Rattus norvegicus: one gene and its partners. Each later gene encodes a partner of the first gene's protein in a complex. Links are inferred from orthologs where the notes say so. Each region holds a gene or a part of one and is shown on either strand. Other genes may lie near its edges. The genes, in order: Plrg1, Cript and Snrpd2.

Evidence for each region.
Region 2: Plrg1 (region 1) and Cript share a complex: the UniProt entries of both Homo sapiens proteins name them as parts of the minor spliceosome. The link is inferred for Rattus norvegicus from reciprocal best matches to the Homo sapiens genes PLRG1 and CRIPT.
Region 3: Plrg1 (region 1) and Snrpd2 share a complex: the UniProt entries of both Homo sapiens proteins name them as parts of the minor spliceosome. The link is inferred for Rattus norvegicus from reciprocal best matches to the Homo sapiens genes PLRG1 and SNRPD2.

The regions. Positions count from the first base shown.
Region 1 is NC_086020.1:170,719,582-170,723,146, reverse strand, and holds the end of Plrg1 (pleiotropic regulator 1), read right to left. Parts: intron 2,316-3,565; coding exon 2,176-2,315; intron 1,792-2,175; coding exon 1,598-1,791; intron 808-1,597; coding exon 748-807; 3' UTR 628-747; downstream 1-627. UniProt on the Homo sapiens protein: Involved in pre-mRNA splicing as component of the spliceosome. Component of the PRP19-CDC5L complex that forms an integral part of the spliceosome and is required for activating pre-mRNA splicing.
Region 2 is NC_086024.1:13,340,079-13,343,827, forward strand, and holds the start of Cript (cysteine-rich PDZ-binding protein), read right to left. Parts: upstream 2,857-3,749; 5' UTR 2,794-2,856; coding exon 2,778-2,793; intron 271-2,777; coding exon 205-270; intron 1-204. UniProt on the Homo sapiens protein: As a component of the minor spliceosome, involved in the splicing of U12-type introns in pre-mRNAs. Involved in the cytoskeletal anchoring of DLG4 in excitatory synapses.
Region 3 is NC_086019.1:87,925,284-87,929,032, forward strand, and holds the start of Snrpd2 (small nuclear ribonucleoprotein Sm D2), read left to right. Parts: upstream 1-1,125; 5' UTR 1,126-1,199; coding exon 1,200-1,201; intron 1,202-2,490; coding exon 2,491-2,670; intron 2,671-3,694; coding exon 3,695-3,749. Other genes in the region: Qpctl (glutaminyl-peptide cyclotransferase-like protein), read right to left, coding at 292-501. UniProt on the Homo sapiens protein: Plays a role in pre-mRNA splicing as a core component of the spliceosomal U1, U2, U4 and U5 small nuclear ribonucleoproteins (snRNPs), the building blocks of the spliceosome.

The DNA of each region.
Region 1 (3,565 bases):
CACCTCTACCACCACCATCCCGACCACCACGTGTCTAGGTAGCTCAAGCTAACCTGGAACTCACTACACAGACTATGCTATCTCGAACTAACAGAGAACTACCTGCTTCTGCTTCATTAGTGCTGGGATTAAAAGCATGTACCTATCACTACCATGCCCAGAAAGAACTTCAATCCTTTAATCCCAAATTATCAGCCATTGTCTTAAATTTTCAAAGAACTGCCTAAAAAAATTTCCTCTCAAACATCCATTAGGATTTTTCTAACAGAATTATCAAAATAGGGGTTTCAGAAATGGTTAAGGACATTGACTGCTCTTCTAGAGGACCCAGGTTCCATCCCCAGCACCTACATTGTGGCTCACAACTATCTGTAACTCTGTTTTCAGGGATCTGACACCTTCTTCTGGTTTTCATGGGCACCAGGCACACACATTGTATACAGATGTACATCTAGGTGAAACACACACACACACACACACACACACACACACGCGCGCGCGCGCGCGCATCCATCCCTGCCAACATGGTGTTAGAATCAGCAAGGCTCAATAAGCCTGAGTTCTTTATATTTACATTTTACTACTAAAACTATAAACTGTTTATTTTAGAAATCAAACACAGGTGAGGGACATGGGGAGCAGTTTATTGTAAAATACAAAGCAGCCATGTTTTCTGCAAGTGAGCATCCATGAATGACTGGACATCCTCAGCAACACCAAGCTATGAACAGGACAGCCATGAGGACACTAAAATCTCTTTCTCTTGATAATTTCTGGTTTCCAGCTGACTGGGTGAGTTTCTTCTGTCTGAAAACAGAACAGTAAACAAAGTGTTATTTTATTAGTTTGTTTCCTTTCAACAAAAAGACCTGTCTCTGCTAAGTCACAGTATTCATCGGCAGGATGTGTTTAGGAGATCTGGAAGAATTTTAGAAACAGCTGACAAACTCCTGGCACTATCCAAGGTTAACAAGGGATAAATGGTTTACCACATGCTGGGTTGGATTTTCACCTAACGTCAGATTTCCATTTAGATATTATAGCAATACCACCACTGTAATTCTACATCTTGTTTCCACAGCAGTCTACTGTTTACCATGATTCATGTATCATTTTCCTTTCCGGTAACTGTATTGAGGAAGAACTGGACTTAAAAAGTAATGCTTTTATACTGATGTTTCTGCATCAATGAAACCACACAGAAGTCCCAAGATCACTATCCAGGTGAGGAACCCCAAAGTACTCGAGTGAGTCCCTTTCTTTCTGTAATCGAATGAGCAGTCCTTGCCAATTGGCATGCAGTTGTTTTACTTTAAAATGCACGTCAAAGGTGGGTGTGGTGGCTCATGCCAATAACCTCAGCTTCTGGGAGGCAGAGGCAAGAAGACAGCTTCAAGTTTAAGGTCAACTTAAGCTACAAAGTGAATTCTAGGCTAGAAAGGGATACCATGTGATACCGTGTCTCTAAATATAAAACATAAATTAAATTAAACTAAAAAGGAAGATAGGAAGATAGGTAGGTAGGTAGGTGGATGGATGGATGGACAGATGGATGGACGGACACATGGATAGATAGATATGGAAACTAAGAACTTACCGCAGTCTCATCCTCTCTGTAAACTTTAATGGTTTTATCAGCTTCAGCTGTTAGTAACCGACTTTCTGACCGATCAAAAGCACAAGCGAATATTCCTGATTCACTGTCCAAAGACCCAGGCTGTACAGCAGCATGAACGCGCTGAAAATTATAGCCAGTTCTCCAGTCCCAAAGGTGCATAGTGCCATTGTCAGCTGTAAAGGAACACGTAGTTATATTTCTATCCCTTCCACAGCTCATGGCCCATGATATAAACTTCACATCGGCAACACAAGGATGTGGAACACACACACACACTCAAATTCCCTAATATGGTTTTGTCTACTTTCATTTGTGTTTAATTCAGAATTATAGACCTGGAAAGGAACCATAACATTTAAAATCCAACTACACTTCGGGCAGTTACTAGCATAAGTCCCTACCTTTATCACATGGGAATGCAAAGATGTCTAAACAATGCAACAGGCTACCGTGGATCAGGAGAGTGCACTACAACATAGTGTGATGCTGTAGAGACTACCCTAACTCACTCACGACAACAGAAGGGCAAACGAAACACCATGAAAACCTTGTGTTACCTCCAGATACAAGTACTCCATCCGTATTGACTGCCAGCGTGTTAATAATTGCATTGTGCCCAGAGAGATTCTGAATGAAGCCTCCGTCAGGGAATTTCCACTGCTTTATGTTATCTGGAGAACCAGATGCAAATGTGTAACTGGAACAAAGATTGACAAGACTTAATGGGGAGTACAGTGCATCAAAGAAACTCGCAGCTTTAAAAATCCCTGTGTGCTCACTGGTCCCGACAGCCTCAGTAAAATGTTCCTGTTCATCACAGTACAAAATCATCACTGTATTCATTCCAAGTGCCACCAGCCTTGTCCGACTGCTGAAATACACGGACATCCCAGAGCGAAGTTTTGGTTTCTTCAGTGTGCTACACTAAACAACCAATGCACACACACACTGGGCACACTGCTACACTAACAACCAATGCACACACTCACTGGGCACACTGCTACACTAACAACCAATGCACACACTCACTGGGCACACTGCTACACTAACAACCAATGCACACACACACTGGGCACACTGCTACACTAACAACCAATGCACACACACACTGGGCACACTGCTACACTAACAACCAATGCACACACACTGGGCACACTGCTACACTAACAACCAATGCACACACTCACTGGGCACACTGCTACACTAAACAACCAATGCACACACACACTGGGCACACTGCTACACTAACAACCAATGCACACACTCACTGGGCACACTGCTACACTAACAACCAATGCACACACTCACTGGGCACACTGCTACACTAACAACCAATGCACACACTCACTGGGCACACTGCTACACTAACAACCAATGCACACACTCACTGGGCACACTGCTACACTAACAACCAATGCACACACTCACTGGGCACACTGCTACACTAACAACCAATGCACACACACACTGGGCACACTGCTACACTAACAACCAATGCACACAAACACTGGGCACACTGCTACACTAACAACCAATGCACACAAACACTGGGCAAAAAAAAATCTTGAAGAAAGGGAAAGAAGGAACGAGAGGGATGGCAAGAGAAAGAGGAAGGAAAGGGGACAAGAAAGGGAAGGAGAGGGGAGCGGCAGAGGGAGGAGCTGAGCATCAGGAGTGATGTACTGACGTCAGTGTGACCCGCCTTCTCTGCTAACTATGACCGCTGGGCTGATGGCTCTTCCTCCATTTCCTCCCGCACACTGATTTCTCCCTTAGGAATCTAACTCTTCTGTCTGTCTGCCAGGACACCATATGTGAAACAATCTAAGACAGGTAAAGGAGGTTCAGTGCCCTGTATGTCCTGAACACACCCAGACACTACTCTGACATGCCTACTCTGACATGCAGCTTTAACTGTGACTTGGCCTTATTTGTCACAGGTAGAGG
Region 2 (3,749 bases), on another chromosome or scaffold:
CTCCTTCTTGACTCTCTATATGAGGAATCCATTCATGAAACTCAGATGATGAAAAAGATATGAATTCACAGGGGAATCCGGTCCTCTTTGTGTTTAATGGACGAGAGAGTCATCATCTAACACTGCACTCTGCAAACAGTGAAGCCCTAGAGCTGTGTCCACAAGCACTTGATCCAGCTCCTGTTTCCTACTGGCAAGCAGTACCTGTGGTGTTCCGGGCCCCGTCCTTCCATGTGTCTGGAGTGATAACCCTGCCGAGTTTCTTTTCACCTGTTGTAGCAAGATAGCAAAAGAGTACAACTGTCATCTAATACACACACTGTGTGGAAATAAAATAACAAAACGCATTTCTCTGCTAACGTTACAATAATAATTTAAAATAATAAATATACTGTATTATGCCTGAAGTACATAATGACATGAAAAGTGAGACTACAGTAGGAACCTACTAACACCAGGGTAGAAATCAATGAATGAATGATAGCAACTGTGGGCAACAGATACTGGTTCTAAATAAAACTTCCAGGACAACAAGATGCCCTACCAACAGGTTCCACTGATTATACTTTAAACAATTCTGACAAACGTATTCATTTCTCCCACATTCTCTAATCACCTAGTCTGTACAAAGCACTGTGGGAGGTACTGAGGAAAACAAAGCCATGAGTCTAGATTCAGGGGCTTAGACCCAAGTTCACGAGCTCCTTAAGAGCTTGTAGGCTGATAGCTGGGAGGAAACGAAGCAGGCGGGACTGCACAGAAACCTAGAGCATGTGCTTATAACCTTTTCTTGTTCTGACTGGAGCCTTTCTGAAAAGTGAAGAAGCCTTCAGTAGAACCATAAGCTGGAAGCCTGAGCTGTGAACTAAGGAGATGGAGCTTAAGTGTTGGGAAAGTAGATGAGGAGATGAAGTCAAACAGTAAATAAAGGACACATCCCCAGGTCAGGCATGGGAAGCTCAGGGGTACCACAGTGCACAGAGTACTCTGGCGAGCTCAGTGTGAGGTGGGAGAAAGGAGGTTGGAAGGATAGCTTAGGTGTTTGTCTGTAGAGGGCCTCGGACGTCAAGATCCAAATGGACAGTTACTTCTTAGAGTTTAAGTAGGGAAAAGGTCAGGTGGAGAGGTGAACTGGATACTCAGTGGTATGGATGTGCTAGCTGAGGTCAACCATTTCCCAAAGATCTAATGGATCAAGAGAAACAAAGCAGACCAAGACAAACACCCTGGAACCCAGTAAATGGAAGAGAACTCTAAAAATTTGGAGACAAAGAACTTTTTGAGCAACTTATGACAGAAGGAAAGGCAGAACTGAGGTGGCTGCCTGACAGTACAGCTTCTGTATGAGCAGGAGTTCAGTTTACATACAGGGTGAGTGTAATGAGCACACAGACTAGGAGGTTACAAATAGTAAAACATTAGATTTTTCAGAAGAGCAGAGGAGTAACTATAATAGAAAGAAATGGCCTTTTACTGCACAGCACAAAGGACAGGGTCATATCTACATTTAGGCCACATTTAATTAAACACTTTCCCCACTTTCAAAAAGAATAAAAAGCTGTTTGAGAATGGAGCTGATGAAGGTAGCTAGGAGTGGTCTTCCCGAGGGAAGGGCATACCAATTGGTTGTCCAGTGCTAATGGTCAGCCCGGAAACATACATCCAAGTAACAATATATGAACTGAGCAGGCTGCATTTATAAAACAACTATATACATGTATGCATTCAATACAATTAGTGAAAAAAGAGGTCAGGAATTTGATGGATATATGGGAGAGTTTAGAGGGAGGAAATGGAAGAAAGAAATGTTGCAATTATATTATCTCAAAAATAATAAAGAAATAGAATTTACTGGAAAAAAAAAGAATGGTGGCTGAGTCTGATGCCACAGCTACTAGGTGGTGTCTGTGTCCAGAGTTCTATGTACTGTGGTTGTATATATTAGCCATTAACTGAGATCCAAGTTGGAATCTTGTCAGAGAAGGCTGTCTAGCCCAAGAAAGAGATCAAGAAAAGAAAGCTGTTTTAAACAAATCAACAGCTTTTGCAGTAAAAAACAAAAAACAGAAAACGAAAAAACAAAACAATAAGTATTTTCAACAAATCTCAGGGGTTTCATTGGAATTACTGAATGGTAACTTAAAGAGTTAAAAAGACCTTTCTAAAAGCCAGGGATGACTACATAGATTTCTTTGGTGGTGATGAGACTCTCTCCTTCACCTGACCTAATGCTGTATTAATGAACTGACGGGATGGTATAAGATATTCAATTAAACTTAATTTCAGATGACCACTGAATTAATTTTTAAAGTAAAATCTGTATTAAATGCGGCATGTTTTGTAGTAAGGAACAGCGAACAAAAGCCAAGATTTAAATATTATGCGGGACATATTAATAATACTAGAAATTAATCATTGCCTATAATCTTATAATGTAACTGAGAGCCTGGGATTTATATTTGTTACACCTGGCAACTCTAGATGCTACCAGAAAGATTTTTAAGTCTCTGGGATCCTGTCAAGAAGTTATAATTAAAGAGATCCAAGGAGGGCGCGAGGACGGTGACAGAAACAAGCATAGATGTGCAGAACTGAGACCATTCTGAACACAAAGCATAGGGCTATAGGGTCCCGGGATAGGCAAGGACCGTGGGGCAAGGAAGGAAGACAAAGGTTATACTACAGACCGGTGAGAAAAAACAAAGGCCGAAATCCCAAGAGAATTTCGTCGGGTTCCTCCAGCCTCCACCTCCCACAGAAGCAGCGCCTTAACTTACACTTTTCACACACCATCCTTCCACGGGTCGTCCTGTCCCCCTCAACCCGCAAAGCAGGAGCAGCTGCCAAAATACATCAACAACACAGCTGAGAAGACTTCCTCTTCCGGTTACGTCAGTTCGCTTCCGTACTCAGCCCTCCCGCTCCGGCCTATCCAGGATGGAGAAAGTCGCGGGAGGGATAAACGCGAGCTCATGGGCGGGGCTTCCTTTATCGGTCCGCCTCTTCTCTTCAACGATTGGCTATCCGCTTGTGAGTCCCCCGCCTTCTGGTCTGCGCCTGCGCGAGGGGCCATGGCAGCCTGTCGCACCTGAGGGTGGGAGGCGGTGGTGTCCCCTTCCCTTCGGCGGGCGGGAGAGTTAGGTAAGCGGGAGGGATGCTTCCTAAGTTCTCCTGGGGCAGGTGCAGGTCGCTCTGCGGACTGCTGCCGTGGCTTCCAAGGCGCCACGCTTCCGGCGGGCCAGAGGATGCATGGCGCGACGGACCCTCTGAGATCCCGGCGTCTGTCGGCGGGACCGACCCTCTGTCACCGTCTCTCAGGTTACCGGGTCGGCCGCCCGGGCTCTCTCTGATGATGCCCCTCAGTTGCCCACACTCGCGCTGTCCGGGGTTGGGACAGAGTCACCTGGGTGGGGTTGAGCCGCGGTCAGCGCCCGGGCAAAGGCTGCTCAGGAGGGTTCGGGAGCAGCCATGCCTTCCCACCGGGCTCTCGTGGGATCGCGACTCCGAAGGGCGGCTTCCCAGGTGTGGCGTGCTAGGGAAACTCGCCCGCCGGTGCCCGAGGAAGGGCTCCATTCAACCGGCCTTTGCGTTTGGGCACGGCTCGCCGTGTTAGATAGGGATTTGCAGGTGGCCCAGAGACAAGCTCTACTTAGAGGATGGATTTCTGATCCCCCTACCTGCCCGATCCCTCAGTGGAGGGGAGAATCTGAGAAACTTTTCCGAAGTCTTTTCATTGTTATCCGTTCTTG
Region 3 (3,749 bases), on another chromosome or scaffold:
ACTGCAGTCCTGACGAAGAAATTGCAAACGGGTGATGGAGACTTCTAAATAAATGGTTTGGGCACAGAGCTCAGATCTACCAGTGTTTCTATGCGGATGCATCCTCTTCAGAGGGGTCTAATCATAAAACAAGCCTGAAACCTTATTTTGTTGGGAAGGGGCATACGCTCAAGTGATGGATAAAGAAATAGCACAGGCGGCAAGGGCTAAACGATAAGGCCACGCTAACCCGAGACTCAATATGAAGGGAAAGAGGGAAATGACGCTGGCTGGGCCCCAGCCAAGGCTTACCCGCAGATCCCGGCTCCGTGATACCTCCTCAACCCCAGGGTGCCAGCTATTCCAGACGATATAAAAAGCCAAGCCCAGGGCCAGCGCCAGCAGCAGCAGGGGCAGGAGCTGCACCCGCGGCAGAAGACGGCGCTTGGAAAGTGAGGGTGGTTTCATGAGGCCGCGATCCCCGAGCCGCTGCCGAGACCGCCCGCGGCTGGCCGGACTCATGGCAGCTTTGCCCTGAAACCAATCCCCCCGCAGGGTGGTTTGAGTTTAGGCCAAGATTCGCCTCTCGGAGGTTACAAATGCCAATAAAGAAACACAGTAACTGCGTCCTCCCCCAATCGATTGCGATTGGCTCTCCTAAGCGCCGCACCACCCAAAAGGGAGCGCGGAAACCTTAAGGCCCGCCCCCACGGGAGAGAAACAGGCAATGAGCTGTGTCCGAATATACGAAACCTTCCCCGGCGCGGGGCCACGCCCCTTACGGAAGTCGATCAAGAAACTGTGGTTCAAGGAAAAAGGGGCGGCATCCATCCCTAAAACAAGGAACCGATTGGTTTGCCTGAAGCCATGCCCTCAAGAAAATTGTCGGCGGGTATTTTGGAAACCGGGTTGCGTTTTCCTTCTCCCAACTAGACAGTTAGGCGGGAAAACAATTTCAGTCAGACCCCGTTTTATTTTCCGCATGAGCAGACAACCTATTGTGATCCTCAGAGGCTTCAAATCCTCCCTATAGGCATTTTCTGCAGGAGAGCGTAGCCTTAGAGTCACTATGGTAACAGGGCACGCCCACAGTCGTGATTGCGCAGGCGTCGACGGAAGTCAGCCGCAGGAGACGGAAGTCCCGCCCTTCTCTTGCTGTGCTCCAAAGGCTAAAGCAACGCGCTTGGAGGCGGGAGTGATCTGCTAGCGAAACCTTCACCATGTGAGGCCGGGACGGGCTTCGGCGGGGACACGAAGATGGAGGGGGACGGTTTAGCTAAATAACAATCGAAATGGGGTGCTCATAGCTGAGGGTAGAGTTTCTCGGGCAAAAATAATGTCTTCTGAGGGATTTGAGAACGGGCATGGGGCCTCGGTTCTTGAGTTCCGGAGAGGGGACAGCTTTATTCCATAATGGGTGTAAGACTCTTCTAGGTACCGAGGCTTGCGGAAATGAACCGTAAAGGAAAAACTGAGTCTGATGGCACATGCCTAGAATCCCAAGCCTAGAGAGGCTGAGTCAGGAGTATCGCTAGTTGGTGGTCAGCCTTGACCAGCTTCATAGCGTGTCCGCTTACAAAAGTAATAGTAATTTTATATAGAAGTGGTCTTAATGGATGAAGAGCTTGGCGGAGAAGGAAGTACTATTAGAAATAGTAAATAGAGACGTATGGGACTTAACCAGGATAAATTAGGACTTTTGAACCTAATTAGAGATTGTCAGAGTAGCAGGCTACTACAATGGTTTATTCATTGAGCGGATATTATGTAGACTGTAAGTTAGACACATGGTAAATAGAAGGTCCTTGCTACCAAGGAAAAAAAATCTCTCAGGGCTTATAAAAAGAATCCAATAGGAAAGCCATAGAGTAATAAACAAGTACATACAGTATGTCTTAGATGATCAGGAGTGTGAATGGAGAATTGAGTAGGAAAGAAATAACACCAGTAGGTAGCACAGAAGTATTGGGCATTGAAAGCCCAATACTTGGGCTGGGGATTTAGCTTAGTGGACAGAGTACTTACCTACTGTGGGCCCTGGGTTTGGTCCTCAGCCACACACAGACTAGATGTAACCCCAGTATCCTGGAGGCAGAGACAGACAAGTCTGAGTTCCAGGGGCAGGTCTATTTATACAGGGAGACACTGTTGTGGGGTGGGATGGAAGAGAAATGGCCAAATTTTTGGACATATCATGGAAGCAGATGACAAGATAAGACGACAGAGTGAGGTTTGAAAGAATCAGGTGCCAGGCATGATGGTGAGCCCCCTGTAATCTCAGACCTTGGGTGATGGAGTCAGGAGAATTGAGAATTCAAGGTCAACAGTGGCTGGACGAGGTTTGGTTAATGAGCTGGAGCAGGCTAACTTGGAAATGTCTCTCCTGCCTCCAGAGAAGACTGTACCAGGAAGGGCATTTGGGGGCCAGGCTGGGGAGACACTGGACAATGTAGCTTTGGTCACTTATGCTTCCAACCTGAACCCGTCTCACCCCCCGGGTTCTCTATCCAGGAGTCTCCTCAATAAACCCAAGAGTGAGATGACCCCAGAGGAGCTGCAGAAGCGGGAGGAGGAGGAATTCAACACAGGTCCCCTCTCGGTGCTCACACAGTCGGTCAAAAACAACACGCAAGTGCTCATTAACTGTCGAAACAACAAGAAGCTCCTGGGCCGGGTGAAGGCCTTTGACAGGTGGGCATTGTCTTGGGGAAGGTCATTTGAGAAGAATTGTCGTAATAAGGTGGGCAAGGTGACAAAGTGCCTTTAGTCTCAGCACTCAAGGGGATCACTGTCAGTTGGAGCCAGCCAGGGTCACAGGGCAAGACCCAGCTAGCTCAAAAAATTAGAAAGTGGGGGTGCTTGGCTTTTTTTTTTTTATCTTATGTGTTTGGGCGTTTTGTCTGCGGGTGAGTCTGTCTGTGTACTGTGGACATGTCTAATACCTTCAGAAGTCATCAGATCCCCGGCAGGAGGAGGGACAGGAATTAAGATGTTTGGTTTGTTCCTCTGTAGGCCAGACATCAATGTCAAATATCTTCTACTGCTTTCTAGTTTGTTTTGAGGCAGGGTCTTTAACTATGTAGCCTGGGCTGGCTACAGATGTAGCAGAGGCTAACCTTATGCTTCTGATCCTCTTGCTACCATCTCCCAAGCGCTAGGATTACAGGGGCGAAGCATACCCTCCTGCCTTGTTTTAGTTAGCATGGAAGTTGCCTTGTGACGTGGTCCTACACATCTGGCATTGTACTTTGCTCATCGTCACTGTCCTCAAGCAAGCATTCGTGGAATGAACTGATCCAAGTGTGAGCACATGTCCACCTGCATGAGGACAGGGCCATGAGGCACTGGAGTGCACGTGTTGGGAACCATGTCTAACCCCAGAACTTAAGGTTTGGAGGGAGCTAATGCTTCTCTCAGAGTTAGAGTTAACTGCAGAGCCAGGGCCATTTTGGTGACCTTTACTGTGTACCGGGGTCCTAAGTGCTTCTTTCATCCAATCTTCACATCAGCCCCATGAAGTAGACTGTTTCCATTTCAAGAAGGGGGAAACTGAGGCACAGAAGGGACACTTAAGATGGGGCTGAGATCACACCTTGAAGCCTGCCCATCCCCACTGTGGAACCTGAACTCCGTCCCTATGCCTGCTGCTGGAGGGTTCACACATTCAGAATGTCCCCCTCACTCTGGCTTTTTCCTCCACCCTTTACCCCATCAGGCACTGCAACATGGTGCTGGAAAATGTGAAGGAGATGTGGACTGAGGTCCCCAAG